4 linked regions of the Arabidopsis thaliana genome follow. The protein of the gene in region 3 interacts with the protein of the main gene of each other region in a pairwise test. Each region holds a gene or a part of one and is shown on either strand. Other genes may lie near its edges.

Region 1 (9,113 bases), on a different chromosome or scaffold from region 3:
TAATTCATTTCAGAAAAGTTTATTAGATCCGTTTAATTCTTTGAGTCTTCTTTTGGTAAATCTTCTGACTTTCGTTGTCAAATTCTAATTACTTTGTTTCCTTATTTTCTGGTCAAGTTTTTATTATTATAATCATTTATCAATTCAATAGCTTTCCTTAATTGCTGATTTTGATTGACCAATATTTTTTATGATATACCTCTTCTCTACATTGCAAGAAGCATACGTTATTGGTTGATTTCATTACCCAAGTAACGTTTTTTATCTTTTGGTTGATTGTTTCAGATCTTTTTTCTTCTCCAGTGCCGTGAAGGATGTGTGGTCTTGCTAAGAAGCTGGATATAGAGGATACTTTGACATCACTGTCAGACCAAGAGAATGAATCTTTGGCCAAACCCATGAATGATGCTGCTGAATGGGAACATTCGTTTTCTGCCTTGCTTGAGTTTGCTGCAGACAACGATGTGGAGGGGTTTAGGCGGCAACTCTCTGATGTGTCTTGTATCAACCAGATGGGTCTTTGGTACAGACGGCAGAGGTTTGTTAGAAGAATGGTTCTTGAGCAAAGAACCCCGCTGATGGTTGCTTCGTTATATGGGAGTTTAGATGTTGTGAAGTTTATTCTTTCTTTCCCGGAAGCGGAGTTGAATCTGTCTTGTGGTCCTGATAAAAGTACTGCTCTTCATTGCGCTGCTTCTGGTGCTTCTGTGAATTCCTTGGATGTTGTCAAGTTGCTTTTGAGTGTAGGAGCAGATCCTAATATCCCTGATGCTCATGGAAATCGTCCTGTTGATGTTCTTGTTGTGTCTCCACACGCTCCTGGTTTGAGAACCATCCTTGAAGAGATCTTGAAGAAAGACGAGATTATATCTGAAGATCTGCATGCCTCGTCATCTAGCTTGGGATCAAGTTTCCGGTCTCTCTCATCATCCCCTGATAATGGTTCCTCGTTACTCTCCTTAGATTCAGTATCCTCTCCGACTAAGCCACACGGTACTGATGTAACTTTCGCATCAGAGAAGAAAGAGTACCCAATTGATCCATCATTGCCTGATATCAAAAGCGGGATTTATTCAACCGATGAGTTTCGTATGTTCTCGTTCAAGATCCGCCCATGTTCTCGAGCATATTCCCATGACTGGACTGAATGTCCATTTGCACACCCAGGTGAGAATGCAAGGAGAAGAGACCCGAGGAAGTTTCACTATACGTGTGTTCCATGCCCGGATTTTAAGAAAGGATCCTGTAAGCAAGGTGATATGTGTGAATATGCTCATGGGGTTTTTGAATGCTGGCTACACCCTGCTCAGTACAGAACACGATTGTGCAAGGACGGAATGGGTTGCAACCGAAGGGTTTGCTTCTTTGCTCACGCAAATGAGGAGTTGCGTCCCTTGTACCCTTCCACAGGATCTGGATTGCCATCTCCTCGGGCTTCGTCTGCTGTTTCCGCCTCTACTATGGACATGGCGTCAGTTTTGAACATGTTACCAGGCTCACCATCTGCTGCTCAACATTCGTTCACCCCACCAATATCTCCTTCTGGAAATGGTAGTATGCCCCATTCATCGATGGGTTGGCCTCAGCAGAACATACCGGCGTTGAATCTTCCTGGAAGCAATATCCAGTTGAGTCGTCTGAGATCTTCTCTTAACGCTAGAGATATTCCTTCTGAGCAGCTTAGCATGCTGCATGAGTTTGAAATGCAACGTCAGCTTGCTGGCGATATGCACAGTCCACGCTTTATGAATCATTCCGCTCGTCCTAAGACACTGAACCCTTCAAATCTGGAGGAACTCTTCTCAGCTGAGGTTGCATCTCCTCGTTTCTCTGATCAACTTGCTGTTTCATCTGTTCTATCGCCTTCCCACAAGTCCGCGCTTCTTAATCAGCTGCAGAATAATAAGCAGAGCATGCTTTCTCCTATCAAGACAAATCTAATGTCTTCTCCAAAGAATGTGGAGCAACATTCTCTTCTGCAGCAAGCCTCGTCACCCCGAGGCGGAGAGCCTATTTCCCCAATGAATGCTCGAATGAAACAGCAGCTACATTCACGCAGCCTAAGCTCCCGTGATTTTGGATCTAGTCTGCCCCGTGATTTAATGCCGACTGATTCTGGTTCGCCATTAAGTCCATGGTCAAGTTGGGACCAGACCCATGGAAGCAAGGTGGATTGGTCAGTCCAATCAGATGAGTTAGGTCGGTTGAGAAAATCTCATTCCTTGGCTAATAACCCAAACAGGGAAGCAGATGTTTCATGGGCTCAGCAGATGTTAAAAGACTCTTCATCACCTAGGAACGGAAACCGTGTTGTGAACATGAATGGTGCAAGGCCATTGACTCAAGGTGGTTCGAGTGTGAATCCTCACAACAGTGACACTCGTGAGAGCGACATTCTTGATGCGTGGCTTGAACAGCTGCACCTAGATCGCTGAGCCTCAGCTGCGAGAGAGAGGTTCACATTTCTGTGAAGCTGTGAAACTGATGATTCGTTTATTTATTATTCAAGAAAGCAAACGGAAACAAAAGCAAACTCCGGGTAAGCTTTTTTCGATTCTAATAACCCTAAAAGGCTCAGTTTTTTCAGGCTTCTTTCTGAAATTTCTTTACTTTCTTATTTTTATCACCTCATTAAATTAATTATTGTATCATCTCTGTTGTAACAATGGCCAAAGTGCGCCTCTATTACTTCCCGGATTTCTGATTTACATTTTTTGTATCCTCTCAGTTTGTCAATTGTTTCTAATATCTCCTTCATATTTGTCAAAGAACACTGTATGAGAAATAATAACATATTGTTTCAGCTAATAAGATTCATTCATTTCCTATTGCTTTCTCTGCTTTCCTGTTTTTTCCACTAAACTTTAACCAGCGATTCATAGACTAATAGACATTAATCTCTCAACTAACACGTTTATGGAAGTCGAGTAACTATCAAGTAAAGTGGTGGTCTCACTTTGAAACAGTAAAGTTAGAAATCAAACAAAATTGACGCAAGTTAAGATTGCTTACACTTCAAAATGTGTGTGAGTGAGAATAAAAATTGCAGAAAAACTCTGCTCAATCCTTATAACCCTGATTTCAATCCTTCTCAAATCTGAATCTCAAAGCCGTTCTAAGAGATTATATATATAAGTAAGGAAAAGAATGGGAAGATTGGTGTATGGTGGTCCTCACCACAAGCCAATGAACTTCCACCAGGCACCACCTACACCAAGCCAGATGAGAATGTTGACTATTGAAATCAGGAATCCATAGCCCCACCATTTAGCCAGCGGCACGTAGTTAGCTCCGTAGAAGATAGGCGCAGACCCGATACCATAATGGGTCAATCCTCCCATCAGGTTGGAAAGGAACGCAAGAACCAAGGCTGCAAAGTAAGGTGGAGTGCCTAGAGCGGTTGAAACCGATAAAAAGGCAGTGAACATAGCACCAATGTGGGCAGCTCCACTAGCAAAGAAGTAGTGAGTGTAGAAATACAAGAGGACGAGGATTCCAAAAGATAGCTGCCATGACAAACCCAATCCTCCCACAAACTGCAATCAAAACCCAAACAATGTCAAAACATTTCATTAGCATGCTAAGTCATTAGGCTTATTAAGCATTCATCAAATCATTTAACAAACCTTGACTACGGTCTGGCTGAACCACTCAATGAGACCATATTTGTTAAGATAACCAGCCATCGCAATGAGAGCAGCGAACCAGGTGAGTGTGTCCCATGCGACCGACTCAGCTAAGCACTCTTTCCATGTCACAACACCTGTCACAAGAAGGACTGATAATCCAAGAATGGCTGCAGTCACAGCATCTACACCCAACTTAGCTCCAAAGATCCAGAGACCAACCTGTGTCAAGGAGAACACTTTTTTAGAAAAGGAAAACCTTCTCTGTAATAAAACACCAAAACCACAAACATTTTCACTCAAAGCAAATGCATTAAACAGAAGCAAAGCCCTAGCTTAATCTAAGGAGCTACAATAGCTAAAATCTCTCAATGTTCAATACTGAAGCACCTTTCAAATCAAGCTCTCACCATAAGTAAGAACAGATCCGATGAAGCAGAAGCACACTTACCGTGAGGAATAAAGTGGCAGCCATAATCAATTCGTTCTTAGACATAGGTCCCATCTTGTCAAGCTTTTCCTGAGCCAGCTTAGGAGCATCAGGACTGCTCTTCACCGTAGGAGGATAGATGAGATACAAAAGAAACGGAACAACAATCAAAGACACAAGTCCTGGTACAATCGCAGCTTTAGCCCAATCAGTCCATCCAATCGTCTGCTTAATCGTGTTAAACGCCAAATTAGCACTCAAAGGATTCGCAGCCATAGCCGTCAAGAACATAGAAGAAGAGATCACAGAAGTCTGGAAACAAGTAAGCATCAACCACGAGCCAAGACGGTGCTCTGTTCCATCCCCAACGTTACTCCCACAAGCAACACAGAGAGATTTCACCAACGGGAGAAAGATTCCACCGGCACGAGCCGAGACAGAAGGAATCGCCGGAGCTAAAAGAGCTTCACTGAAGACGAGACTGTAACCGAGACCAAGGGAGGAGCTACCGAAGAGTCTAACGAACTGGTAAGCTACACGGTTACCGAGACCGGTTTTGATGAAACCGCGAGCGAAGAAGAAGGCAAGAGCGATGAGCCACGGGATTGGATCTCCGAAAGCGGAGAACGCGGCGGCGAACGTTAGGGTTTTGGTGAGAACGGAAGCTCCTAATCCCATTAGAGCAACAGCACCGAGAGGAAGCGGCTGAGTGATGATCCCGACGATGGTGGCGAGGAAGATCGCGAGTAATTGCCACGCGTTGCGAGTGACACCTTCGGGGACTGGAACGAACCATAGAATCAAACCAGTAGCGATCGAAGCGAGAAGAGGCTTAATGGCAGCTCCTTGCCATGGAACCGGAGCTGGAACCAAAGGAGGAGTTGGAGAAGAGGAAGCTGAAGCGACGGTGGAAGAGGCTTTAACGAGAGTTGATGATCTCCGGCGTAAAGAGACGGGAAGTGGAGATTTGAGTAAGGAGAAGCGAGAATCGAGAGATCGGAGAGGTTTCGTCAAATTGAGAGAGGAAGAAGGAGGACGAGGGAGAGAGAGAGATCGAGATTTGAGAGGGAAAGCGAGAGAGCAGGAGCCGGAGAGAGCGAGAGACGCCATGGTTGTAGCGTCGTCGGCGAGAGAGAGGTGTGAAGAGGAGAGGGAAGTGAAGAAGGAAATGAGTAAGAAGAGGAAAGAGAGAGTTGGATAAATGTTGACCGTTGGATTGGAATCGGACGGTGAGATTAAGAAAAGGAATATACGGACAAGAGTGAGAGAGAGTGATGATGAGATGAGATCGTGAGGTGAGAAATAGAGATCTCCGTCTTTGGTGGGTCAGTCACCTCATCCTATTGGCTGAAATATTTACGAAAAGCCATTTTGGGTTTGGGTTTGGTCTTTTTAGATCGACGAAACATACAAAGCAAAATCCTTCACTCAACAAATTTTCTATTGATTTATTAGCTTTGTTTTTTGGTTTTGAAAGATCTTAAACTATGCGTTTACTAGTGGATCGTCCAATGAAAGATTAACTGGCAATAGAATAGTAGCTTTCATTACATTGTCCAAGATGGGCCGAGATGGCTTCGCTTGGAATTAAATCTAGTGTAAACCCTTAAGCGGCCTCTCGTTTTTTTTTCTTTGAGTGTTATATGGTTCATAGTTTTGATTTGTTTGTTTAGAGTAAGGTGTGACATCAAATATTGAATACATGATTCTTTTATGTAAGAGGATACTTTCTAATGTGAATGTCTAAGAAAGTTACCAAATGTTTTAAAGTACATTCAATAAAACAAAATGTTCAGTTTTATCCAAAGATATAACATCAGAAAAACTTTCATTTAATTAGTTCAATCTTCTCCATTGCTACTTGATTACAAAATTCTTCAAGTGTTTGCCCCTGTTATATTAAAGAATGTATGTGCTTATTATTTCTTTTATTTATTTATTATAGGATATATGTTTTACATTGACTAATCATTACATGGCACCTCAAGGCTCAAGCCCTAGTACGAAAAGATTATTCGAAATACAAAATACTCTCTAACAATGTATATATATTTGCATTTATGTGTGTGTGGCTAAGAATCTTGAGTATAAACCGCAATAGAAAAAAGAATAAGATGACGTAAAAATATTCATATGCTTTGTTTGAAGTTGAAGTAAAACGAAGGAACCTCAGTGTTCATCAACTGGTCAAGGTCCCAAAATTCTTCCACTGGTCTCATACCCTCAGGTGCGTTTCCGGATCCATTAGTGTTCAACTCGTCTAAGTGGTTGTTTATATTTGCATTGTACCAATCACCTTCTTCACATTCCAAAGGTGGGAAGTAGAGTTCCCCTTGTACCCCTGCGTTTACTCCATAGATACCATCTACATAAGGGGTAAAATCGTCATTGCACGGGTGGCTGATCATGTTTCCCGTTGGAAATGGATTGTTGGTTTGTATGTGGGTCAAGGAAGGGTTGACGAAGCCTTGTTCTTGTAAGGACATGAAGCTTCCTATAATGTCTTTAATATCCAAAGAAGATGCGGAATTAGAAGAGGAATCGCTTGCTGTGTTGGGTGATGAGGATGAGTTGTTGATTAAGTTGGAGGTATCGGACATCTTCTTTAGCCTTTTCTTTATTGTTGAGTTCCAGAAATTCTTGATCTCGTTATCGGTCCGACCAGGCAATCGTGCTGCAATCTGAGACCACCTATGAAATCGAAGAATAAGAGAGTAGAATAGTTTAATGAGATGATGTTATGTAAAATGTATACCAGTGCATGGTTTGCATGGGAATTAGAGAGTGATCCGTTCTTCATGTTTTTTATGTTTGAGTACGTGAAAAAGAGGCAATATATCAACAATTATAAAATTGCACAATCATATTAAGCAATAAAATGACATTATACACACTGCGTGTTTTGAATTGAATCTATATATATATATATATATATATATATATATATATATATATATATAAATAGAGAGGAAACATGTCCTGCGTAAAAAACACTAGAACGTATATTTCTGGAGAAAGTGACAAAAAAAGGAACTAATAAATATATAATTACAAAGATGAAAGTTGAAGTAAAACCCTAAGGAAGAGAAGAAAAGGTGTGTAAAGTGACAAAAGCCGCTTTCACTAAAATAAGTGTTTGTTGTTAGATAAGATCATAAGACGCACTCTAAGTCTTAAAACCCACGATCAACGAACTTTGACCACTCACATAATTACATGTGAATGTACTCATACCTATTTTGGTTTTATGCGTCTATTTCCATTCTTACTACTATTATTCTAATTCAACTTTCTTTTGGGTCAATTTTCTTCGTACACAATCATTCTTCCCTTTGAATTTAAACAGTTACTAATCGTACCAATGAAAACTCGACCAAACTTTATCCTTCCACGTAAGTTTGATTATACATTTTACGATGTTAACGTATCTTATATATATAGTATTACTTTTTACTGATTAATGTAATAGTATAATTGAAAACTCGTCCTTAAAACAAACATAGATATTATACCTCTAAATAGATAGCTCTGCACTTCTTATTTATTTGGTAGAAAAAAAAAATCAAATAAAATATGGTGAAAACGTTATCAAGATCTAATTTGACAATTTGGTCGTTTTAGGGTGGACTTTTTTTTTAAAATCAGTTGACTGGCTTTTCTATGCTTTAACTTTGTACCCATTAACCGAAAACAAATTAAGCTACACAAGTTTAAAAACAAGACTCACCAGACAAAAGCTAGTTTGCCAGAACATTTATATTTATCTTCCGGCCACTAGTTTCCATATTTTATTCTATCTCTTAGTTGTTGTTATTATGTCAAAACCAAAATGATGGTAAAAATGTAAACCTGTTGCCGAGGATGGAATGAAAGCGAATGATGAGATCCTCTTCTTGAGGAGAGAAAGCGCCACGCTTGAGGTCAGGACGAAGATAGTTGATCCAACGAAGACGGCAGCTTTTGCCACATCTTTGAAGTCCTGCGTTTTTCGCAACATCACTCCAACATCCTTGTCCATTGCTTAACATGTATTGCATCAGCTTTGAGTCTTCCTCAGGAGACCAAAGTCCCTTCTTCATCTTCTTTACTTGGTGAGTACTAGCTGCAATGGCTACCTCTGGCTTCCTCATATTTTTGGTTGAGTTAATTGTTATTATTTCTCTTCAATTTGTTTGTCTTTCTCAAGGATCCATTGATGTGAACGAGTGAAGTTTGTTTTATAATAGAGAGAGAAAAGAGAGAAGACTTGATGAAGGGAGAATGATGATGATGAGAAAGGGATGGTTGTATGGTTTGCTTACAATTCTGGGAAGAAAAACCATTTGCACTTCTTCCTTTTTAATCTCTATTCCTTAATTATATTTTTATTGTATATATTATATTTATAATATAGTGTTGCTTTGTTTTAAAACATAAAAGAAAAACATCCGAACCCTGGCTCTTTTTCAAATTAAACACATTTTTTTTGTCGGCATATATTGTGTAAGGTAAATAAAATAAAATACACCAACAACAAATGTATGTTTTGTATATAACTAATTTGACGAAATGAAGAAACGTTAGTTGATCGGTCATGGACGAAAACGGTTTTGAAAAAGACCCGATATGCAAAACATCAAAGAAAAAAAGGAGAAGTGCTCTTCACTTGTTCTTAATTTTATTTTCTTCTTTTCTTGTTCTTTTTGAATATATAACTCATTTCTATTAGTTTCTTCATTCACAAGGTATACATTACAGACATATCTAATTCGTTAACCTTACGTGTGTATATATATGATATATAACATTGATATATGATAGTATATAACATTAATATATATATTCATGAGCATGTCTATTTCTATTCAAAGATGTCTTCATTTTCAAGGTAAGCAAATGTTGTGTTATTTAATTAATTGTATACGTATGTAAGCATATTTCAATTGTATAAAATAAATCGACGTGTGTCACAGAACCCTTTTTTTGTGTTATATGAGGCTTAGCGAGCAAGAAGTTTTGCTTCGGCTTCACACAACCACCTCTCGCGCACCAACACGTATACTTGAAGAAATCTAATT
Region 2 (7,699 bases), on a different chromosome or scaffold from region 3:
TGTTCATGTTTCATGCAAAGCATATAACACACACACACACACTGACACACATATATGTATATATATTGATATTAGTATATGTAAAAGCATACACAGATATACATGCACAAATACTACTAGGCAGTGACTTAAATGGTATAAAAGCCTCTGTATGCTTATTACCCTATAGAGATATATCTCATTTGTGAGAACTAAACCTACATTTGTCAGAGCTAATTAATAATACATATAATATTTGCATCAAAATTTAATTTAAAAAGGATACTCAAAACTCAAAAGCAATTTTCAAGTTTTCAATTAGTTTTGAAAGCCAGAAACGTAAAATCAGTGTACTAATCAGAAATTCTCATTCCCAGATACATATCACATCCCAGATTTTTCTCTCAATTAATAACTCCATAAACTACGGATCTGATTCGCATAAGATTTGGTCTTGATGGTTTCAAAACACAGTTGGTTAGATATACTCTAGATTATACAAATTAAGCAGGAACAAAAGAAAAGAATAACTTCCATGTTTTGTGGCTCCATGTCTTGTTGAGTACAAGAAAATCAATAAAGACGCATGTTAGGCTACATACACAAAGAAACCTTTGTAGATCTGCATCTAGGGTTAGAGTATTTTTCTTTCTCTTTGACATATTTTAGGAAAAGAAAATTAAATAACCAATTTCATGATATCTAGCTCAGAATATATGTTTTTGAGACAAAACACTATAGTAGATCTGCATCTAGGGTTAAAGATTCAAGGGTCTTTTGACATGTTTTTGGTAAAGAAATTGAAAACTTATTACATGATTTTGGCCATGGAATATTTTTGAGACAAAGAAACTTTAGATTAAAAAGAGAGCAAAATTACCTCATGCTTAGCATCCCATAGTTTCTTGCCAGATAACTTCTGGTATTGGTCCAACATAGCACCAAGATCCATGGAAGGACAACAGTAATCAATCATCTTACCATTACTTGCAAAGATTATGAGGGCAACTTTTGCATCACAAAGAACTGTGATCTCTTTAGCCTTCTTCACCAATCCATTCCTCCTCTTTGAGAACGTCACCACTCTGTTGTTTGCGTTCTCTATCCTCTTTATCTCGATCTTTCCTCTACCCATCTTTCTCTCTCTATCTCTTTCTCAATTTTAGGGTTTGCTATGAAATTGTTAAGATATGGAGGAGAGGATATGTGGTTTATATGAAGAACAAGAAGAGGAGCATTGGTTTTAAAGTAACATTGATGAGATAGAGAGAGAAATGTTTTGATTAATCTTGAGGTGAAGAGAGACTTTGACAGTTTGGGATTGAAAACAAAGCTACTTTCTTGAGGGCACAGTCATGGAAGGCTTGCTTTTGGTTCGCTTATTACACATAGCCAACTCTATTTTCTCTCCTTTTTTTACAGTACCAAGAAGATAAAAAAAAAACTTGAAGTAACGTAATAAAATAAAGTAAAAACAAACTTAGTGATTTTGCTTAATGAACACTCTTTGCATGTGATTGATGTTTATTTTCTTTCATTTGATTTGATCATCTCAGTCTCTCTCGTGATAGGTTAAAGTGTCGTTTAATTAACCTCTGGTCTCTTCCGTACTATGTTTTCTTCAATGAACTGTGTAGAGAAAACAAATTCTAGATATCTGGAAAGATAAAATTCTTCATATGAAATGTGGTCAAACTTTTATTTAGCTTACTCGTGTATGTATATAATTAATTAAATTTAAATTTGAGAGGCAAACATGATAATACCATAATTTCTTATCCAACCACATATATCATCAATTAATTACTTTGGGAAACTATCTTATTATGTCATCAATTATATAAAACGTGAAATAAGATAGTGTCCCAATGATTTTGCAACTAAATCATTTTGCAAATAAATTTCCCATTTTGTCTATCTCGAAAACTAACCATTAAATCAAATGAAAGCAACGAGTTTTGCAACTTTGTAGATTTAAAACCAAAAATCTCTGTAAAGAATTGCTTTTATTTTTACAGGTTCTTACTTTGGCAAAACCAAGACTTGCTATTTCAAGAACTCTATGTCATATATAGGTCTTATCGAATATCGTAGCTACACTAAAAAATCAAACATATTAAATTATTGAAAGTTGAAGATATCACATTGACAAATGAAGTAAATAAAATAAAGTTAAATTCAGATGGTTTAGAAAAAGGAAAAAAAAAAAAGAAAAAGGAGCAGTGTAATTACCAAAGACCTTGGTATAACCATTAGACTTTATCATGCTTACATTGTTATGGGGAAAATGTCTTTGGTTGTTGAAAACAAAACAAGTTTATGGTTTTCTTGATTCACGTCGATCAGACACGTGTCAATTTATTGTGGAATTTTGTGGTCTTATGTTTTGTACTTAGTACGGGCATACTTTTTGGCATTTTCTCGATTATCAAACTATAAAGCCAGAGATTAAAAATCTCCACACACAAAAAAAAAAAAAAAAAAAAAAAAAAGTTGTGAATTCAGGTGAGAAACGTATCCACTGAAACAAAAATACCATATTGTTGGTATATTGAATTAGTAGATAACCTATGTCTTTTTAATATTATTCTAACTTCGGTTCACAATCAGGTAATGTTTACTCGTTGATTGAAAATATTGAGAAGGCAAATTTTGTCTAATTATACATGAAAACTAGACAAATTGGATGAAGAAGATGACTAATTTTCATGAAATATGGTAATATATAGTAGTAATCTCAATGATATTGAAACCCACTCTTTATTTTGCAACCGAATAATCATATATTGAAACTCAATACTAATCACAAGTATAAGACGTTTATAATGACTTGAAAACAAGTCCTTATTCTCACAAATAATCAAATACATGACTATTTAAATAAGGAGAGTAAGGTAAAACAAATACATAACTAGGTTTCGAGTGTGACTCAAAAGAGAGCAACAACAGCAGAAACAAAAGCGACCAGAAAAGTAGCACCACCTAATGAGGAAGCGGCATTTCCAGCTGGAGTAGTGGTTCCGCTAGAGCCTGAAGGTGTTGTGGTCCCACCCGCAGTGGGAGGAGTGGTTCCTCCAGTACTTGGGGTTGATCCAGGTGCTGGGGTAGCACCGGCACCAGGAGTAGCACCTCCAGTTGCACCAGCAGCAACTACAGTGATGGAAAGTTTTTGACCAAAACGACAATGGTCACCGACGGTGCAGATAAAGTATTGTGGTCCAGTGGTGTTTAGCATAATTTTGACCGGAGGAACGGTCATGTGGCTAATGGGTTTCTCTTTCTCACAGTTTTCAAATGCAGCTTCTGATACAACTGCCACATCATGCCTCCCAGCAGCGAAATCAAATTCTGTAATAAGAATATCAACATCAGTCGGTGGAAACTCAATTAATCCCTTTTTTAGCTAAAATATGTTCATAAGAATATAGAAAGAAAGACAGAACAACACCGACATGATCCATGCACGATCCCATAACTATGACTGTTATAAGAACAAGAAAAACAAAGACATATTTCAGCTATAAGAACAATAAAACTCACCGAGCTCGTCGCCTACACGGAAAGTTTTACCGGTAGCCCAAGTAGTATAGAACTCGGGGTCCATAGGTCTCGTCCATTCCGTATCATCACCAACATCGTAGTCCTCCGCGAAGACAACAACGGCAGCGAAAACCAAAACAAGAAACGTAACCGTTTTGAAAACTCCGGCCATTATGTTATGTGTTGAAGAACTCAGGTCACCCCCTTTTCTTTTCTTGGTCGAGAACTATATATGTCGTCTCTTAAAAGATAGTAAATGACCCCTTTTGATTTTTGTGTTTGTTGTGGTTTCAAAAGTCTTGCAAGAGAGACTTATATTTATAGGACAATTAAAGAGAGGCTCTCAAGGAGTCATACGCAAGATACGGGAAGACGCGTTACGTGTTGTGTCGTTGAACAAATCCAAATTTAGATATTATCACTTGTGGTCAATTTTGTCTGCTAAGTTTTTTTTGTCCACAATTGTTATTTTTAGCGCGTAAAGACATTGTACATTTGTAAATTTAGATCAAGTAAAAAACGTGACTAATTACTTTTTGGGTAATGATTATAAAATTTAGTGTTCAGACTAAATATAACTACCTAATAATAACCATCCGATATTAAGGCATCGAAGAATAGTAGCATACTAATGTTAGAAAAAACAAAGTGTTAAATGTGGATATGGATGAGATATTAGGTGTTTATAGCATTTATATGGATAAGTCGATAATTGTTCAGAAATTTCTAGGCTCGATTGTCTTTCTTTGCATGGGTCCGTTGTACCAATTCAGGTCGTATTCAAGAAAAATCAACCCAACAAGTATATATACTTGCACGTAAACGAATGCGGTCATAACCCGAAACCAAAAGCGGTCAAACTCACTTCAGTTTTTGTTTGAGTTTAGATAGTTCAAAAAAGACCAATCGGGACTCAAGTGATTGGTCCGATTATAAACCCGAAATATCCATCCGCTAAAAAGGACTTGTCAGTGATTGGTTATTTCAGCTTCAATAGCAAAACCAAGCCTAACCAAATAAACAGGTTCAAGAACCTTCTTGCTCTAAACAAGAATCACTGTCTGAAACTTGTTTACTTGGACAGGTTCTTACATTATGTCCCATTTTCTTGCAGAACCCACAAGCATACGTTATTTTACCAACACCATCTTCCCCGGAATTTTCACCACTGCAACTAGGATTCACTCCGGTCGGCTTCCGGCATGTTCTGCTGTTGTGACCTCTCTCACCGCATATTCCACATTTGTGATACCTAGTGGAAATGCCTTTAGTGACTATTGATTTCGACTTAGGACAAGTTCTACGGTTGTGGCCTTTCCCGCCGCAACCCCGACATCTAAATTTTCTGTCCGCATTAGTGCCTAGTTCTGGACAGTAATGGCGTCTATGGCCTTCCTGTCCACAGTTCTTGCAGTAAAACTTAGTTCCTGAATCAATGAGAGAAAAATGGTTCTTTTACCATTTCATAGCTTGCACATGGAACTGTCACCACAAAAGGAAATCAAATCGAAACCTACATTTCTACACTTCGAATCAACATTATATCTCAACTTTAAGTGACAAGCCTCAACCTAATTCATCACAGTGATCTCACATTATTGGAGAATGTAAACAGATAAAGCTCAAGAAACAAAAGAGTACTACATGGACCTAAACTCTGAAATTCTACCAAGAAACTGAGACTTACCTTTCATAGATAGGCTTCTCTGTTCACGGTTTACAGGGTTACTGAAGAAAGCTTTCATAGATTCGGATGCATGCTTTCTAGCAGCTGGTGTTCCTTTAGCTTTCTAGAACACAACAACACTAAGCAGATTCAAGGGAAAAAAACAACAAAACTTGTTCCATGTTAATTTAGGATATAAAACAAAATGGAGTAGATTACAGACCTTAATTGCAGCTACTCTTTGAGCATGAAGCACTGGATCACGATGTATAATCTTCATGCGCTTACTAAAAAGTCCAGTTTTGGCATTGAGACTCTATAAAAACCATAATTTGGACTGACTATGACAATTTCCCATGGAGAGAGTAGAATAACATGAAGTGTATATGAATGAAACTAACTTTTAGAGATCGGCTGATCTTTTGTCCAACTTCAGGAGTTGGTGACTGATAAATCCGCTTCGATTTTCGCCTTTTACTGAACTTTATCTCTAAATTATCAACCTCATCATCCTCCTTTACTCTAAATGGAGAACTGTGGCAGAAAAAAATGAGGTTTATTAGTCAAACATTAAACAGAATTAAGACTTCAACTCTTGAATAACAACACTACCTGGATCTAGCTTTCTCCCAAGGTCGTTCATCGATTGATTCTTCCCATATGACACAATCCCCCAAACATCTGAGACAAGTCATTATGCCCTACACAAATTTAAGCAAAGTTTCTATAACAAGGAAAGACTTTTGTTACTCAAAAGTTTAAAGTAATTTAATACTTTTAAGTACCTTTCCTTTGCATTGAGGGCAGTCTAATCGCGACCTCTCGATTCCGCAATTTGAACATGAAGTATAACCTCTTCCCCTACAAGTTGGACAAGGAAGCTCTCGAATGTACTGACCGTTAGGACCAAACCATGACCTTGGTTCACGCGAATCACCAGATATGAACCTGAATAAACCATCACCAAAAGCACATTTTTGAAGCTTAGCCAAATTGTGGATCATGTATTTTACCAACTATCAAGTACACCGACTTGACCAAGTAACAATATGTATTCCTTACTTTTTTAAGATTTTCTTTTTCTTTTTAGGAAATTATTAAGAGTTTTTTTTTTCCTCAAACTTCAAAGAGTTTCCATTTTGGCATTTTTTTTTTTTTCCTATTAGTAGAGTGCTTTGCTTTTACGTTTTAGTATAAATAAAGATAGGGTCTCGATTATGAGACTCATACAAGCTAGAGAGAGCTTTGAGTTTTATACGTTTTGGGTTTCTTTGAGTCTTGCAATAAAGAGAGCTTTTCGTGGGGTTCTGTGTGACCGTGATTGTTAACTACCTGCAAATAAGAACTTGAGGAATGACTACCAGTAGGATTGAGTCACGTTTGATCGCGATAGAAAAGTACCACAAGGCCTTGCATGAAGAATTTATTGGGTTTCATAAGAGACAGAAAGAGATCCAGGATGCTATTTTGGAGTTTACAAGGATGGTTTCGGCTTCAAAATCGTCGCATTCTAAACAAGAATCTGCAACTGTCCTTGAGGAGGACATTGAGATGCCAAGTTTTGATGGAGACCATCTCTTCATATGGCTAGAAATCATTGAAGTTTACTTTACTTTGCAACTCGCTCCAGAGGTTTGCAAGGTAGACACTGCATTCAGGAGTATGGAAGGTGATGCTCTACTCTGGTTACAATGTCTACGACAAGAGAACCCGACTTTAACATGGTCTCAACTAAAAACTGAGCTTATAGAAGAATTTGGAGGAGGAGATATTACGGCCTCTCCTGAAGAACAATTGGCATCACTTCGACAAACAGGATCCGTAGATGAGTACGCTAATGAATTCCGTGCTCGGGCAGCTCAAATAGGTAATAAGGACCAACTTGTAAAAGGCATGTTTCTTAATGGACTTAAAGAAGAAATCCGGGTGATGTTCCGACCAAACGATGCTGAAGGACCAGAGATGGCTATACGCACCGCAAAAGCAATCGAGAGAGAGTTGAATTTTAACAACCGAGCAAAGGGTAGACGCCAATATTCGTCGCACCAAGAATATTTTGACATGGAAGGAACAGGCCTTTGTTATCCCGGCTATCAGCCGTACTCCATCTTTGATGACTTCTGAGGATAAGGCAATCATGGATGGAGAGATACGTGCTATGTAAGAAGAATAGACTACACTACCACAGGAGCAAGCCTTGAGGACAAGACTTTACTTTGGGAGGCTGGAATGTTATGTTTTTTTCTTATTTTTATTTAGGATTTTCTATTTCTTGAATTTATGAAGGATTGTTTAATGCTTCCACTATTCTATTTTCAAGATTACTTCTACATCCATGCTTGTCTTTTACGTTTTAGTTTACTTATGCATCCATGCTTGGTTTTTCTATTTTTTTTTATGAAAGATTGTTTAGGACTTCCACTTGTCTGATCCTAACTCAAATAAGACATTGCAGGCAGATGCCAAAATTATCATACTCTTGCTTTTATAAAAGAATGAGAAAACTAGTGATTG
Region 3 (8,665 bases):
ATTCTCATACTTAAGACTAGTAGAAGGGAAAGGGATTATAGTACCCGATGTGGAAGTAAGTGCCATAAAACCATGTTCAGAAACTGTAGCCAATGGACTAGGATTACTTGAAGAAGCTGCAGGCTCTGGAACTTGCACTTGAGCCTGAAACTGTGAAATCATCTGCTCGATTTGTTGAGGAGTAAAATCTTGAAGACTCAGGTTGTTTCCACCATGTGTTATATGTGGCATTGGATAACTACCATATGGATTCATCATAGGTGCCTGTGAATAACCTTCAGAAGGATATGCACCAGTCTCTGCATAAACTTGAGCCACAACATTCGCTTTCTGCATCGAATTAGTATAAGGCTGAGCTGGAAACTGCATCCTTGGTTGAGGCATCATTGGCATCCTAGGTTGCACATGTAGCTGAGGGTTAGGCTTGTAAGTATATCCTGTATTGCCTGTCTTCATACCCGGTGGATAACCATGGACTTTATAACATTTTTGAATTGTATGTCCCACTTTCCCACAGTGAGTACATATCGGCTTCTGATTAGGTCTAACTGTGTTATATGCTGCAACATAAGCATTTTCATCTTCATTTATCATAGAAGTGTTTTGAAAAGCAACACTATCAACACGAGTAAGTGGCTTGACATTCCTTTGTCTCTCATCTTGAGTTACCATATTGAACGCTTCTTTAATAGTAGGTATAGGTTTAAGCATCAAAATATGACGTCTTGTTTGATCAAATCCTTCATTCAATTCCTTAAGAAACTTAGTCACTCTACTTCTCTGTTGTAAATGTTCCCATTTAACTGCAGCATCACACTCACAACGACCACATGTACAAACTGGGAGCTCAACATAATTTCTGTGTTCTTCCCACAGAGTTAACAAAGCTGTATAGTATGTTGAAATATCCATAGATCCCTGCTCTATTTTACTTAACTTCTGTTCTATATCAAAGATCCTTGGTGCATCATCTTGCTTGAATCTTGATAACAGATTGTTCCAAATTCCTTGAACAGTAGCTATGTAAAGTAAACTCTGACCTATCTTCTTATCAACAGAGTTCATCAACCAAGTACTAACAATATCATTACACCTAGACCAAGCACCAAAATCTCTATGATCCTCAGGTGGTTTAGTAATCGTACCGTTTATAAATCCCAATTTGTTTCTGACATTCAAAGCCATCAAGATCGATCGACGCCATGAATGAAAATCTGAAGCTGTCGTAAGTCGATCTGACACAAGAATCAATCCAGCGTGATCTGCACTATGAAGATAGTACGGATTCTCATATTGATCTACTGGATATCGAATTTGATCACCATTGTTGATCGGAGGACGAGTCACCGGATTCGCAGGTGGAGGTACATAAGATCCCATTCTCAGAGTAAGAATGAAAAATTACAAAGAAAGCGAGACGAATTTGATGTATAGAAAACGAGATTCGCTCACGCTAAAGGTCAATTGAAGGAAGTAAAAGAAACAGAATGAAAAATACTCCGGTGAATCGGAAAAATAACGAATGGCATAAGCGAACGAAAGAATCAAAAGAAGAAATCGAAAATGAAACTCTCTCCCGATGAACACAACAAACGCGGAATCAATATATTGTGCTCTGATACCATGATAAAATCCGATACATCGGAGATTCAAGATCGGAGAAGAGAGACGAAGAAGAAGATAACAACTTTTCTTATTCAGCTTAAAGTGTTGTTACAACCAACTTAACTAACAAAGTAATCGAGATTAAACTTATATACATAAGATTATTGTGGTTAGTAAACCACATTCAACCAAACCAGTGATAACCGAAGTTAACCAGTCCTATATCCTTAATACTCCTCGCACATGCCTATATACGGCATGTATGTAGGTTCAATATGCAAGTTGATGTTCTTGAGTTCCTTGTCGATCGTGTTTTTAGCAATCATACCTCGCATTCTAGAAGCAATGTGCTTTTGACGGATATGACCCGTGTCATAACTCTGTTATGGCCCAATAGCTTCTGAGAGGTGTCACTTCTGCTAAGAGAGCATGCTTAGCATAGCCATGGTGGGCGTGCTCCAATGTATGTGCATGTACATTTAATTTTTTAGTCAGCTCCTTGTAAATATTCAATTAACTACGACGATAATTTGTGAGCTAGAGCAACCAAAGCTCGAATGAAGAGTTAATTGAAGAAAGCAAGTCATTTCCCGCAGCATCATGAATCTTTTTCTCTTAGTAATTAGGGTGGTAGGACATGTCGTATACTAGTCTTTCTAAAGGCTGAGTATTTCGTCGGCTTTCTTAGAAACGATTTCGATTGTACATTGTATATATGTCACGATTAGGTTGATGGATTCACTACCAACAGTATATTAGATAACCATGTAGCTTACTATTTTTTGAATGATCTATATATCTAACTTCTTCAAATAATTACACATATTTTTCATGTGAATCCAAAACACTTTTGTTTATAATCTAGCACCCTGTTTAATATATGTAGCATAACATCTGTTGTTGTGTTATAATATATTTATTTTACAAAAATCACATTCATATTTACTAACATGGTATTTTAGCATATACTAAAAGATCAGAAGAAATTGAAAAACTACTCCCGATTTAATAAGGTAACATTTTTTTTTTTTTACTTTTTTTCTATATATTGTGCCAGAACTCAAATGTTATCCTCTAGTAGCTATATTAAAACTCATGGTTATTTGACTATTTATCTAAACAGTAGTTTCAAGAAATTTACTATTTAGCATAGCAACCTGTTATTCACTCGTAAATTCAACATTTAAGACTATAGTTTACATAATTGTTAAGATGATTTGACCTAGAAACCGAACCATTTGGAAATGTACATGTCAACTTGTTGTCTATTACCAAACCAAAAATGAACTTGTCGATTATTGTCAACTTGTTACCTAAAGTGGAAAAAAAATCAAACTCTTCTGCATAGTAGTGTCCTGTCAACTTGTGGAATTGTTGCGAGTCGTTCAAAAATGATATTTCTCATGTTGTTACGTATTTGGATCTTTAGCAAAATGTCAATATACAGGACGGTATTTGCGCCTTAAAATTCTGAAAATTGGAAATTTTTGGAAACAAGACGCCAAGTTATCTTGTTTTTATTACAAAGTGCTAAACTTTTTTTCACAGAAAGCTAATAATTAAGCTTATCAATCAATCAATTAAGCTTTTTGTAGACAAAACTGCTAACATGAACCCAAGATCAAATAGTTGACAAATGATAAAGAAGCTTTTGCTACATTACATGAAATGACATGAGATGATTTTGCTTGTGACAAACAAGTCTCTATCAAACATTTTTTCTTTCGGTTGGTTCACTAGTCTCTTCACAATCTCTTTCTTTGTCTTGTTTCAATAGGGTTTCAATAGGGTTTCAATAGGGTCCCTTGACTTGTTTACTATGTCTGAATCATTCATTCATCAGGAGAAATCCAAAAATGGAAGTCCCAAACGAAACTATTCATTTAACACTCTACTTTCTTCTTGTATCCAAATTTACCCTTTGATGTAGTTTAATAGCCTGCAAAATCCGAAAGATTGTCAGTGTTCGAGTCAAAGAACAAGGACTTGAACCAGTCCCTAAGAAAAGTCAAGTGTTTTGATAACTATAAGAAGAAGTGTATTTTACCTAATAAGGTAATACATGATCAAGAACAGGAGCACAAAATAAGCTATGAGTTTGCAACTTTTTCGATTAGACTTCTTCTCAAAGACCTGTCGTGTTAAAATCGAGTTTTATTCAGATATAAGTTTTGATAGCGAAAAACAAAAGGGGTGATGCATATATAAAAGGTACGAAATCTTATTTACATACCAACTTGAAGCGGTTGATCGTTCCCGACATTATCCCCCTCGCGGAGTCCATTTTGTTCCCCTAGAGATACAACAACAAATAGCTTAGAAGAAAAGCATGTGATAGAGATCTACAAACTGAAACAGATGAAATCAAACTTTCAGCTTACCACTTTGTCAAGCAAGCGGTTATGATTCTCAACTTCTTCATGTATGTCTCCAGTCACCTGATAAGATATTATTACCAACTTACATCTCAGGCAAGCGTTATTGCAAACTAGATTTGACAAGAGTGAAAACAAAAAAGGCATTGTTTTCATAACTAGACTTTTCTAAGGCATTACATCATAGCTCGATCCTTGTCGTTGAGTCCGAAAGACTTATACAGGGTCTAGTGATAGCAATGCTGGAGAGAATGTTCTTAATCTACAATTTCAATACATATCTAGGAACTAAAAACTAAGTTCAATTTCTTTATATCTAGACTTTTCGAAAGCATTAGATCATCGTTCGATGCTCGAAAGATACATTTAGGGTCTCGACTTAGCAGTGCTTAAGGGACTGTTCTTTCTCAAACAATAAGGATCAGTAGCACCATCCATTTCACAATAAAGAATCACAATTCTTAATCCTAATGTTTATGCTTGTGTTGATATTTTGATTCTTTAGTTATATAGATGAAAGAAACATACTCTCTTGAGAAACGAAACTCTGTCCTGAAGATTTTCCAAAGCTTCATCATTATCACGTTCGTCATGAGCATACGAAGAAGAAGCTCTCAAGCGACCTTCTTCAAGTCCATCAAGGCCATCAAAGAGAGACGTTCTCGAAGCACGATTCTCCCTACAGAAATCAAAACCATTGGTTCTTAATCAGATCCAATTTTCTCCAATTCTAGTTGGATACACTCAATTCAAAATCTGGAAAACTGTAATTAGAACTCTAGAATTAGGTCAATGACTCAGAATCAGGAATTCGAATGTCGGTGATTCAAAAAACTAAGATTTCAGAAAGAGTGAATCTGGAGATTGTGAAGAGATCTAGATCAAATTCGATCGAGAGCAGAATCAATATCATTTGTTAAACATTGATGAATCTACATAAAAACAGGATTCGAATGCAGAGGAAGAGATCAATAGATCAAACCTTCGAAAGTTCATTTGATTCGTCTTCGATTCTACTCTCTTACGAAGGATTCAACATAACAGACGAATTTAGAGCATTGTAAAGGAAATTCTCGATTTGGATTCAATTCCAGAAGCGTAAGTTTTCGTGTTTTGTTTGCGAGAAACGTACGAAAGTTCTTACTGTACTACAAGTCCCTAGAAGAAGAAGAAGAAAATAGAATTAAATTGAATTGGGCTTACTGGGCTTTAGTTCGGCCCATATTGAATCCATGAAGTTAGTTTTTTTATTTGTTAAAAGTGAACACTTTGAAGAAATGAACTTTAAAGAAAAGTCCAACCCTAGATGTATGATGGGTTAATTTGACAATTTATTTAAAGAATTCATGCAACTATTTTCTCCATGTTTTTCCCATAATTTTGTTTCATGTGTTTTATGCATTTTTTTTTACCCATTTAGAACTTGAATTAATACTTTGTTAGTGAATAATATTATCTCTTAGAGGATAAAACTGATACAAAAACGTGAAAAATAGTTAACCGCGTGTAATATCACAGGAACAAAATTCACACGGGGCTGGTAGCTGAGTCATCAAATCTACAAAATTTTGATGAACCGTTCTAAACCTGGATGAACGGTGGGACAAACGTTGTTGGCTCGTAGCAGAACGGCGACGCGGGATGTTGCCATTTCTTGAAAACTGGTGTCTTCTTCACCTCTTCTTCCACTGGTATCTCAGTCTTGTTCTGCGGCGGAGGAACATGTGATTGGTCGAAGGATGATGTTAGAGAAGGAGCGAGCGGTGAAAGGAGAGGGATCGCCACGTTCCAGTTACTAAAAGACGTTGGTTTGATCATTAAAGACGGAGCTCGTCTCTGTAGCTGGCTAAGTTGCCTCTCGTTACTGGCCGCGGAGCTGCTTGTTCTTTGCATCGTGGACGCCATGGAGATAGATTTGTGAATTGTAGGATAATTGAGTACTTTTGTATCAAAGAACATAATAATGATGTTGGTGTGTGATGTCTGATGTTTATGTAGATGACATATATAATAAGGTGAGGAGGGCCACGACTTGTAACATGTTGACTAGGTACATTACATACACGCTTGGATATGGTCATTGGTCAGAGTTGGAGAAAGAAAATTAGCTGCTTTATCTTCCCTTTTCCCGTTTCTTTACATTTTTGTTTTGGCAATACTCTTTGACCAATTCTTTTTGAATTTTCCATGCTTGTTTTTATGTTAAAGTTCTTTTTAATATTAAATTACAAAGACATCGATCTTGTTAATGGAAGTCAAACATGTTCATGAAATGTTAAATGGTGGATGAGGTTTACCTATACAGATTCTCGTGAACATGTTCTATTGGACTTTTATAATATATATGGACCAGAGGTGAATATGAATATGAATATGTAAGTTGAGTCTAGTGCGGACAGAGCTTTACAATCTAAGCCACAAAACAAAAGAAAGCAAAAATCGGACCATGTCACGATGTGCTTAAATATGTGAGGTTTTTGCATTTTTCAGGCCAAGTCAAGTCAACTAGCCGCCTGATTAACTTCTACACGAACAAAAAAATGTAATCCAATGGTTTGTGTTAGTGTTGTCAGTGTGTCATCACCCTTATGGCCTTATTCAAACCCGCATATTGCATGTTGCTAACCAAAATATAAATAGTAAGAAAGTTAACATGATCTTGTAATATATGAGTATACTGATTTGTATTATAAGTCCCATCGTGGTGTCATTAATCGAACACAGAGCCGTCTCTAGTATTTAATAGATTGCAAGCAAAGAACAAAATTTAGACCTATTTTAATGAGTGAAAATGAAAAAATAACAAGGTAAATGAAGGTAGATGGACTCAAACTTTTGACGACCATAGGTATCTAAGAATCAAATAATCAACGTTTTTACTGAAAGTTATAAAAAAATTAGGTCAATATTTTATTTGTAGTAATTGAGGCCGCAAGCATAAATTTGGTCCTATTGCGTTCATGGACGGCTCTGATCGGACATAAATACGGTATAAAATTTTTTAAAAATAAAAGTCAATAAACAAGATAAATCTTAGTATTTATTCGGTATAAAATAAAAATCTTTGCATATTAAATAAATATTTGAATATGTATTTGAATTATAGGATCTTGTAAAATAATGATTGTTATATGTCTAGTTAACAGTTTTATCGGTTAGACCGGCTGGTCAAGTATGGATCTAAAGACACTGTTCTTTTCTATGTAGCTTGTGTATTTAATAAATTAAAGAGTTGGCGGACTAATATTAACCTAACTAATGTTGTTTGCACAACTTAAAGAGTTAGTGAACTAATTTAACTACTCATGTCGGTCTCTTATGGAATGTGTCCATGAGTAATGCTAAAGCAGAGATCTCAATCAATCATGCTTCAAAAATAAAGTTCATAGATTCAAAAGCCATGACAAGATATCTAAAAAATCATACGAACAGTTGTAAGTGTGTAAGCACTAAAAAAAGGTTGTTAATATTAATCAAGTGGAGACAAGGAAACCAAAATTGATTTAGCCAATAGCTGCGAAAGAACAAAATGGTAATTACGTCCAAGGACAAACAGTTACAATTATCATTTTCAGCAAGAAAGTCACACATTCATTCATACACATTTGTCTCGTCTGCATTTAATAACATTGACACCAAAATGGTTGGGAAGATTACCCAATTTAAAGACTTCGGTGGCAAAGCACGTCTAATAAATATACAGTTGGGTTCCCTTCTATTAATTACTCAACACTCACTTCTATATCACAGTTTTCTACTAACTCTTTCCTTATTCTTGTACCATCCTAAATCAGTAAGTCCTTAACGTACGCACCATGTGTACGTTAGAGAAGCGCGGCGATCTCTTTCTCCTAACCCTAACCGGCGAAGACGAGCACAGATTCCACCCCGACACGATCGCCTCTGTTCTCTCGCTTCTTGAACAAGCAAAGTCTCAATCCACAAAAGGATCCGTCCTCATCACTACCGGTCACGGAAAGTTCTTCTCCAATGGCTTTGACCTCGCGTGGGCTCAATCCGCTGGACACGGTGCTATAAAACGGATGCACCAAATGGTCAAATCCTTTAAACCGGTGTTAGCCGCCCTCCTCGATCTTCCAATGCCGACGATCGCCGCCTTGAACGGCCACGCGGCAGCCTCGGGGCTGATGTTTGCGCTGAGCCACGACTACGTTTTCATGAGGAAAGACCGTGGGGTTCTATATATGAGCGAGGTGGACATCGGGCTACCGGTGCCGGACTACTTCTCGGCGTTGGTCGTGGCTAAGGTTGGGTCAGGTATCGCGAGAAGGGAGCTGTTACTGAGCGGGAAGAAGCTCAAAGGAGAAGAAGCGGTGGCTCTCGGGATCGTGGACTCAGCGGCGCATGATAGTGCGGAAGGTGTGGTGGAGGCTACAGTGAGCCTTGGAGAAAGTTTGGCCGCTAAGAAATGGAATGGTGAGGTGTATGCAACCATTAGGAAGAGTTTGTATCCGGAGCTTTGTCGGATGGTTGATTTAACGGCAAATAACTTGGCCACTCACAACCTCTAGAAACTCTCATTGTCTTGTTGGGAGAAAAATGGTTGAAATATGAATATTGCCGACAAAAGTCAACGTCCATTTCACTAAGCACGTATTTGTTTCTCACCAATAAAACATAATTAATCTAACCTACGTCTTTTTATTTTTCATTTAGTTGAAATT
Region 4 (7,199 bases), on a different chromosome or scaffold from region 3:
CTTCACACAATCTACAATGAGCCAAAGGTAGGTTAATGAAACTGCACGCTCTCTCCCCATCTAGTTATGATTTTTGACAGCTTCTTGCTAATCTCTCCATGATTTTTAACAGGCCGAAATTATATCATCGGTTGATCAACTGATAGCTGAAGCTGACATTCAGGTAATTCCCGGAGTCAGAACTTATATCTTACTTTCTTACATATGTATAAGCCAAAGTACTGATGTTTGGTTCTCTTGTGTATCCGAAGAAAGTGATATTTATGGACACAACCGAGGGAGTCTCATCTGTTATCCGTCCGTATTGGTCAGAAGCTACAGGAGACCGTGCTAATGTTGTTCAAGCTCAATCAGACATGCTAGAAATCGTCCCACCCGGAACCTCCAAAGGGAATGGTGTAAAAATGCTACTCAATCATTTGGGCGTTTCACCGGATGAGGTAATAATCTAGCATCTTTTGACGGCGTTGTAAAGAAACTCAAGTAGGCATAAGTATAGAAGTCAAACAAAAAATAAGATAGTTGATGAAGCAACCCGGATTTTCTTATCAGATAATGGCGATTGGAGATGGAGAAAATGACATAGAGATGCTGCAACTGGCCTCGTTGGGAGTTGCTCTGAGCAACGGTGCAGAAAAAACAAAGGCGGTGGCTGATGTGATTGGTGTGAGCAACGACCAAGATGGTGTTGCTGATGCCATCTACCGCTACGCATTCTGAGACTCCACCACCATATTTAAGTACAAGATACACCAAATTAAATTTTTGAGGTTAAGTAGGCATTATTCTTCTTCTTTGTCTTACAGATAAAAGACAAACATTGGTCATTCTTGTCTCATTCACCCACCTTTTGAAGGAAAATGATTGATTGCAGAGTGCGTCTCTTGTTGTTTTGTTCATGTTCGGTTAATCTTTCATTCGTTTGCCTTTGCACCTTTGCATCTTACAACATAAAAAATGTTCCGGATCTCTTGTGAACAAATCCATCTCATTTGGTTACCTGCAGTAACATCAGTTAACGTTAACCAATCAATTGGTGAATAAGTTACCGATGAACAAAAGCTGTTGTAAGTTTGAAACCATTCCGAACAATTTTTATTTAAAAAGTGATGTAGGATTCGAAAATAATTGGAGTAAAGTTACACGAATCTTGTGGCTATATAAACTTCGTAGAAAAATGTAGTACAAATACTTTTGGAACACAGCAATTACATATATAGAACTATGAAATGGTCAGACTTTTTGCAGTAAGTGGTGCAAAGTGCCAAGAATGCAATCTTAAATCTTTTCCTAGCTTCATCGCTTCATCCTCTGTAAAGGCCTGATGGGTCTGCGTTTTGCACAATCCACGGGTGTTCAAGAAGCTTGTGCAAGGCCAAACGTTGCGTAGACTCCTTAACCAACATCTGTTTGATCAGAAAGTGTGAAAATCAGAATTCACTCTTCAAATGCACAAACACTTAGAGAGATTTACGAGGAATGCGAGTAGAAACCTGGCTAATCAGGTCCTTTGCAGATGATGACACAATGGGTTTGGGAGGGAACTTGAGATCCACTTGAACAATCCTGTATCATTTGTCGAACAAAACCCTTCTTTAATGTACATTCCACTGACCAAACATCATATACTAATCCCATTCTACGCTTAATGAACATGTTACCTTTTGTATGTCTCTGAATGCTCCCTGGCCTCAAAAGGAGGAACACCATAAAGAAATTCGTAGCAGAGAATTCCTAGACTCCATATATCGACACTCGCATCATGTTCAACGCTTTCCACTGTGAATCCAAAAGCAGAAAAGTCAATTAGCTGGTTGCCGAAGAAAGTAATTTAGAATCACACAAGAGAGAGAGAGCTTTCTCTTACCCATCTCAGGTGGAAGGTAATCCAAAGTGCCACACATAGTCCTTCTACGGTTGAATGTGTGTACTGACCATCCAAAATCTGCAATCTTGAGCTCACCCTGAAAACATATATCCATGAATACATAAACACATAAGCTAACTGCAATCACATGGCGTTGATGGAGAAAGATAACCAGATTCAATTTGTTACCTGAGCACCAATCAACAGATTTTCAGGTTTTATATCTCTGTGAATTACATGCTTTCCATGGCAATAGATGAGGGCTCTAGCCAATGACGCAACATACTGCCACAATAAACGTAAGGGTATGACTACACAGATTCACATTAACATGCTAGAATAAGTTCAATTATCACTAGGACTTACAGTTGCTGCTCGACGTTCGCTGAAGTACTTGCACTTCTGAAGCTCTTTATAAAGCTCACCCCTTACAGCATACTCCAAAATCAAATAAACTCTTTTCTGCAACAACGGTATCCCAAAAACTATGTTAACCTCACAGAGCCAAACATTGTATGTCAACAAGAAGTTCTTTTACAAGCACAGATAACACAAAACCTGATCATAGAAGTAACCGTAGAGCCGCAGAATATTGGGATGCCGAAGATGAGATTGAATCTCTACTTCCCTTCGTAACTGGTGTTCAACTTGAGATTGTTGAAGCTGAGCCTTAAAAAGAACCTTTAAAGCCACAATGTGATCGCTCTGTTTGCAAAGACACATAGAAGACAGCTTGGTTAAAAAAGACATCAAATTAATTCTGCTTGTTTAACATAATTGTGAAGAAACACTAACCCGTTTCTCTCTTGCTAGATAAACATGGCCAAACTTTCCTCTACCAAGTGGCTTTCCGATATCGAAATCGCTTGTAGTCCATCTCTTTTGTGCAGCCTCTGAAGCCGCCTGATACAACATTATCACAAAGATTGAAATCCAATCAACTCTCAGATACACTTAATCATAAACGACAAACAATCATTGATACTTTAAAACTTGAAGATAAAAGGATAAAATCAACAGCTCCTTAACACTAATCCACGGATTTGTCAATTAATCTAGGGTCCTCGCTGTAAACGAATAAATCCACAATCATATCATGAAATTTCTCAAAATCATACCAACAAGTCTTTCTCAAATTAAACAGAGAACATTGAAACAAGATTCTTTCTGGCGCAAAGAAAATCAAGCAACCAAATCGATAATCCCAGATCACATTCCATTAGAACAGACCAAACGCAGAGAAAAAACGCAAACCAACAAGGAAGTAAAACCCTAAATTGAAACAAATTCGACAAAAGAACCAAATGAAATTGGAATTTGTGAAACCAAGAACAAGTTATTTTCTTACAATTTGCTGCGTCTCTGTAGAAATCCCCATGGAAGAGATCGTTGATGAGCCAAGATAGCGAGAGAAAGAGAAGAAAGAAAGAGAGAAGAGAGAGTAATTTTCACAAAGGGAACAGATCCAAATTGAGAAATTTAAAAAGGGGAAAAAACGTAAACCACCAGCAAAGCAGCAACGGTCGAATCCAGATGCTGCCACGTGTTGATACATCTGCATCGAGGTTTTTATTTTCAAATAATTTGTCTCCCGAGATGATACAGTCGCTACAGGCCCAGATATTATTAAGCCCACGGTATTCCAACTTCATAATCACTAGGATAATATACAGTCACTACAAGCCCAGATAATAGCCCAATAAGCTTCAAGATCGTTTGACGATGAGATTTTAATTCGGAACTAAGTAACCACGTGTCAGTACCTCGTCAAAGTAGCTCCATGCAGAACTGACACGCCCGCGTGACACTCTTCTCCATTGCCTAACACGCCTCGTCGTTCGACACATGTCTCGTTTAAGTTTAGCCTCTCCTTCATACTAGTCTATTTTCATTCTTCATAATAATCACAAATGGTAAGCTTATTAAAGCTACAAAAACAACATAGAACATTAAATCCATACTCTCTTAGAAAAAGAAAAAAAGAAATGGCGGATCATCAACAACATCAGCAACAACAACAACCAATAATGAGGAGTCTCCATGAATCATCACCATCGACTCGGCAGATAGTGAGATTCGTAACGGCAGCTACGATCGGCCTATCACTCCTCGTGCTCTCAGGACTAACACTAACCGGAACGGTGATCGGTTTGATCGTAGCGACGCCGTTGATGGTTCTGTTCAGCCCGGTGTTGGTACCGGCAGTGATAACGATAGGGCTTTTGACGATGGGATTCCTATTCTCCGGTGGTTGTGGGGTGGCAGCAGCTACGGCGTTAACGTGGATTTATAAGTACGTTACCGGAAAACACCCGATGGGAGCGGATAAGGTGGATTACGCGAGGATGAGGATAGCGGAGAAAGCCAAAGAGTTGGGACATTATACGCACTCGCAGCCACAACAAACACACCAAACCACAACAACTACTCATTAGAGTTTAATAATTATATGGATCTATATGTTGTATTAAGTTTTATGATTATCCTACGTATGTTTTTTTAATACTGTTCTTACCTTTTTGAAAAGATCTATCTAAAATTTTATTTTCTATTTTCCATACAATTTTTTGTGTGTTTAATTGCTGATCGGTATTTTCTGTTTTATGATTGTGAAATAGCTAGTGTAAGGAAAGATGATAACGAATTAAGTAAATTAATAAATGCCAATTACTTGGTCACCGTCTGGCTTCTAGAATTATATGGTGGCTTTCTTGGTATATGTAAATGTAGTTTTGAGTGTGGTCCGTTTGATTTGAAATAATATTGTTGTTTTTATGTTCAAAAAGAAAATTGCAAGGTTTGTGAATTTTGTGTATCAATACCAAGGCTTGAACCACTTTATCTATACTCGCTAAATAAATTTCGAAGGCTGCGCTAAATGGCTCGTGTCATTTACGTTGTCTTCATGAACGTATTGTAGTTAGTGTGATTGTAAAAATATTTCTTTGTTTAATCATTCCTCAAAAATTGTATTCGGCCTTTGAGAGATGCGGTGAGGTCGTATGCATGTTTTCCCAAATTTCGAATACTTGCAAACTGTTCTATGAATGTGGTTTTTAGGTACTCATGAAATAATTGAAAACTTTACTTGTCTATATGTTCGTAAACCATTGGCATTGAATTGCATGGCATGGCTTACTATGCGCGCACCAACAAAATGCACATGCATGCTTCACGAACGTATAAAGAAGCTGAGGGTGGACAACATTCACTGCTTGTAGTGGGCAATGCAGTCTTGTAGAGCAGTTGTACTTTCAAACGAGGTTCTTTGTCAACGTCTGATTGGTTTTCTAGAATAATTGAAGGAGTACTTTTGTCCTTATCCTCGCAATGGACTGAGTAAGTTTCCTCCGCGGTTCCCTACTGGCCATGAGCTATGAATTTTTCAAGTGGTGGGTGCCAGGTGCCGGGTGGGTGCGGCGTTAGGATTATTCCTAAAGTTGAGGATCGATATACGGTTAAGTTTTTTTGTTATGGAGTGGTGTTTCGTAGTTTGTCATTGCATCAGTTTGATAATCTCTTTCTTCTAGCACCAGATTGTTTAGATAAATGTTAGGATATATGTGGAAGCAAAGGAATGATGTGGTTCACAACCAAGTCTCGATCCCAATATCAACTATCTTCAAGCTCATCGACAAAGAGATTCAGAACGTAAGCACCGCAAGACGTAAATGCAAGCGTTATTGCAACCTAATGCAAACTCTGGTTAATTTTAACTCCCACTATGTAATGTGACTTCTACATCATTTGTCTCTTTGTTTAATTTTTTGGCCAAAGATTCAAATCCATTGATATTCAGAGACAATAGTCTATATGGATTTATTAGATATAGTCTATATGGACTTATTAGATGATATTAACATTCATAGAGAAAACAACAAATTAGGATACGTTTTCTTTCTAATGAGAAAGTGAATGTACGAATGGTTGTTGGGAGGCTATTGTGTCTCGTAGATATTTTAAATAATTTGAATGTTTACTAATATAGAATGTGTATTCAATTATAACTATTTAAATTATTTTATTGTTGGTTTAGACGCATTCTTAAACTTTCACATCATTCTCTCGTGACTATTATAATAGTTATCGTGCTCGATCAATCATCTCGTGACTATTATAATTTTATCAATAGTTTATGCATAAGAGAACTGATAACGATCATACTTCTTTTTGTCATTATGATAGCTTATGATTAATCATTGTTTATCCATACTTGACGCTTGTAAGTGAAACATATGTTTAAATTTTCAGGCTTAATTTAATAGCCACGAACCAAAAATTATCTTATAATAAAAGTTTGGTGCGATTTAAGAAGATTTGTCCCCAAAGCCCTATCTGAAAGAGGTCAAATTGGATTATTAAATTCAACATATTAATCAATTTGATATTTGTTTAATGGTCTGATTAGTGACAATTATAAGTCTAATATTGCGAATCTTTTGCAGTGAGTATTCCACGTGATATAGATAAGTTTCCCTTAATGGATAACCTTTGCATCAAACAATTAGAAAACAAATGGAAGAGTATCAATCAAGTAGATCTCGAAGCAGTGGACCCTAACACGATACTGGAACATGGACCAAACCTTAAAATATCGTCCAAATTGCTTATTTTCTGGAAGGTTACAAGTGCACAACACTCTAATAATATATGCCCCGCATAACAATTTTTAAAACTATTTCATCTTAGACCTCGGATATTTTGAAGGAAGCACATTTTCTTGAAAATCACTAGGTGACTTGTGTTTCTTTCTTTGGAGCATGTCAATTTACTCCCATCAGCTGGAGAGCCAAAAGTTAAAATTAATGTTCGAAATTTATTTCATAAAAGCTACGTACGTTGCATCCTTCCATGATCTAGAAAAAATGGGGGACAATAACCAAATTTATTCACTCTTGTCAGGTCATGGGGAGTAGTCTACGACCTTGAAAGTCACGTGACAAGTAATATATACTGTACCGTCCAAATATTTTCTTACTGTAATGTCTTATGTTTCATATCGCTAGACCCTTAATATTAGTGTGGACTAATTCATATAATTGCAAATAAAATAGTATGATTCTACGATTCTTCAAAATGATCTAATAGTTACAGTCTGGTCAAAATGATCTAAATCTTTATAAACAAATAACAGCTACGGAATAATTAACACAATTTTTGGTGATAAACTTTGAGTTATGATAGAAATTTTTTTTTTTTCAATTTTTAATGTGTATCTTAATTTCTTCAATTAATGTATCCCTATGTTTTATGTGACTATATAACTTTTGGTTAGTGATACTCCAAAAATGTTGTTTTAGGTTTTGACACACATATTAATAATTTGTTTTAT

The links.
Region 1: the proteins of ATBET12 (region 3) and DiT1 interact in a protein complementation assay, tested with the Arabidopsis thaliana proteins (one large-scale study listed by BioGRID).
Region 2: the proteins of ATBET12 (region 3) and BCB interact in a protein complementation assay, tested with the Arabidopsis thaliana proteins (one large-scale study listed by BioGRID).
Region 4: the proteins of ATBET12 (region 3) and AT2G25890 interact in a protein complementation assay, tested with the Arabidopsis thaliana proteins (one large-scale study listed by BioGRID).

Annotation. Positions count from the first base shown.
Region 1 is NC_003076.8:4,056,754-4,065,866, forward strand, and holds DiT1 (dicarboxylate transporter 1), read right to left. Parts: upstream 5,537-9,113; 5' UTR 5,167-5,536; coding exon 4,078-5,166; intron 3,849-4,077; coding exon 3,627-3,848; intron 3,537-3,626; coding exon 3,174-3,536; 3' UTR 3,098-3,173; coding exon of another isoform or gene 3,097-3,097; 3' UTR 2,826-3,096; downstream 1-2,825. Other genes in the region: AT5G12850 (CCCH-type zinc finger protein with ARM repeat domain-containing protein), read left to right, coding at 315-2,435; MYB46 (myb domain protein 46), read right to left, coding at 6,186-6,747, 7,906-8,186. UniProt on the Arabidopsis thaliana protein: 2-oxoglutarate/malate translocator involved with DIT2-1 in primary ammonia assimilation and in the re-assimilation of ammonia generated by the photorespiratory pathway.
Region 2 is NC_003076.8:6,822,618-6,830,316, reverse strand, and holds BCB (blue-copper-binding protein), read right to left. Parts: upstream 3,953-7,699; 5' UTR 3,692-3,952; coding exon 3,520-3,691; intron 3,328-3,519; coding exon 2,909-3,327; 3' UTR 2,569-2,908; downstream 1-2,568. Other genes in the region: PI (K-box region and MADS-box transcription factor family protein), read right to left, coding at 860-1,114; AT5G20220 (zinc knuckle (CCHC-type) family protein), read right to left, coding at 4,546-4,946, 5,207-5,309, 5,409-5,501, 5,587-5,719, 5,798-5,886, 5,971-6,133. UniProt on the Arabidopsis thaliana protein: Probably acts as an electron carrier.
Region 3 is NC_003075.7:8,306,793-8,315,457, reverse strand, and holds ATBET12 (Target SNARE coiled-coil domain protein), read right to left. Parts: upstream 5,140-8,665; 5' UTR 4,977-5,139; coding exon 4,963-4,976; intron 4,660-4,962; coding exon 4,509-4,659; intron 4,044-4,508; coding exon 3,987-4,043; intron 3,899-3,986; coding exon 3,839-3,898; intron 3,739-3,838; coding exon 3,653-3,738; intron 3,545-3,652; coding exon 3,520-3,544; 3' UTR 3,074-3,519; downstream 1-3,073. Other genes in the region: AT4G14450 (uncharacterized protein), read right to left, coding at 5,562-5,939; HCD1 (3-hydroxyacyl-CoA dehydratase 1), read left to right, coding at 7,796-8,512. UniProt on the Arabidopsis thaliana protein: Required for vesicular transport from the ER to the Golgi complex. Functions as a SNARE associated with ER-derived vesicles.
Region 4 is NC_003071.7:11,033,583-11,040,781, forward strand, and holds AT2G25890 (Oleosin family protein), read left to right. Parts: upstream 1-3,720; 5' UTR 3,721-3,777; coding exon 3,778-4,302; 3' UTR 4,303-4,597; downstream 4,598-7,199. Other genes in the region: AT2G25870 (haloacid dehalogenase-like hydrolase family protein), read left to right, coding at 1-27, 113-163, 252-440, 553-720; AUR2 (ataurora2), read right to left, coding at 1,305-1,406, 1,494-1,566, 1,662-1,779, 1,868-1,964, 2,057-2,152, 2,234-2,329, 2,426-2,572, 2,663-2,770 and 1 more.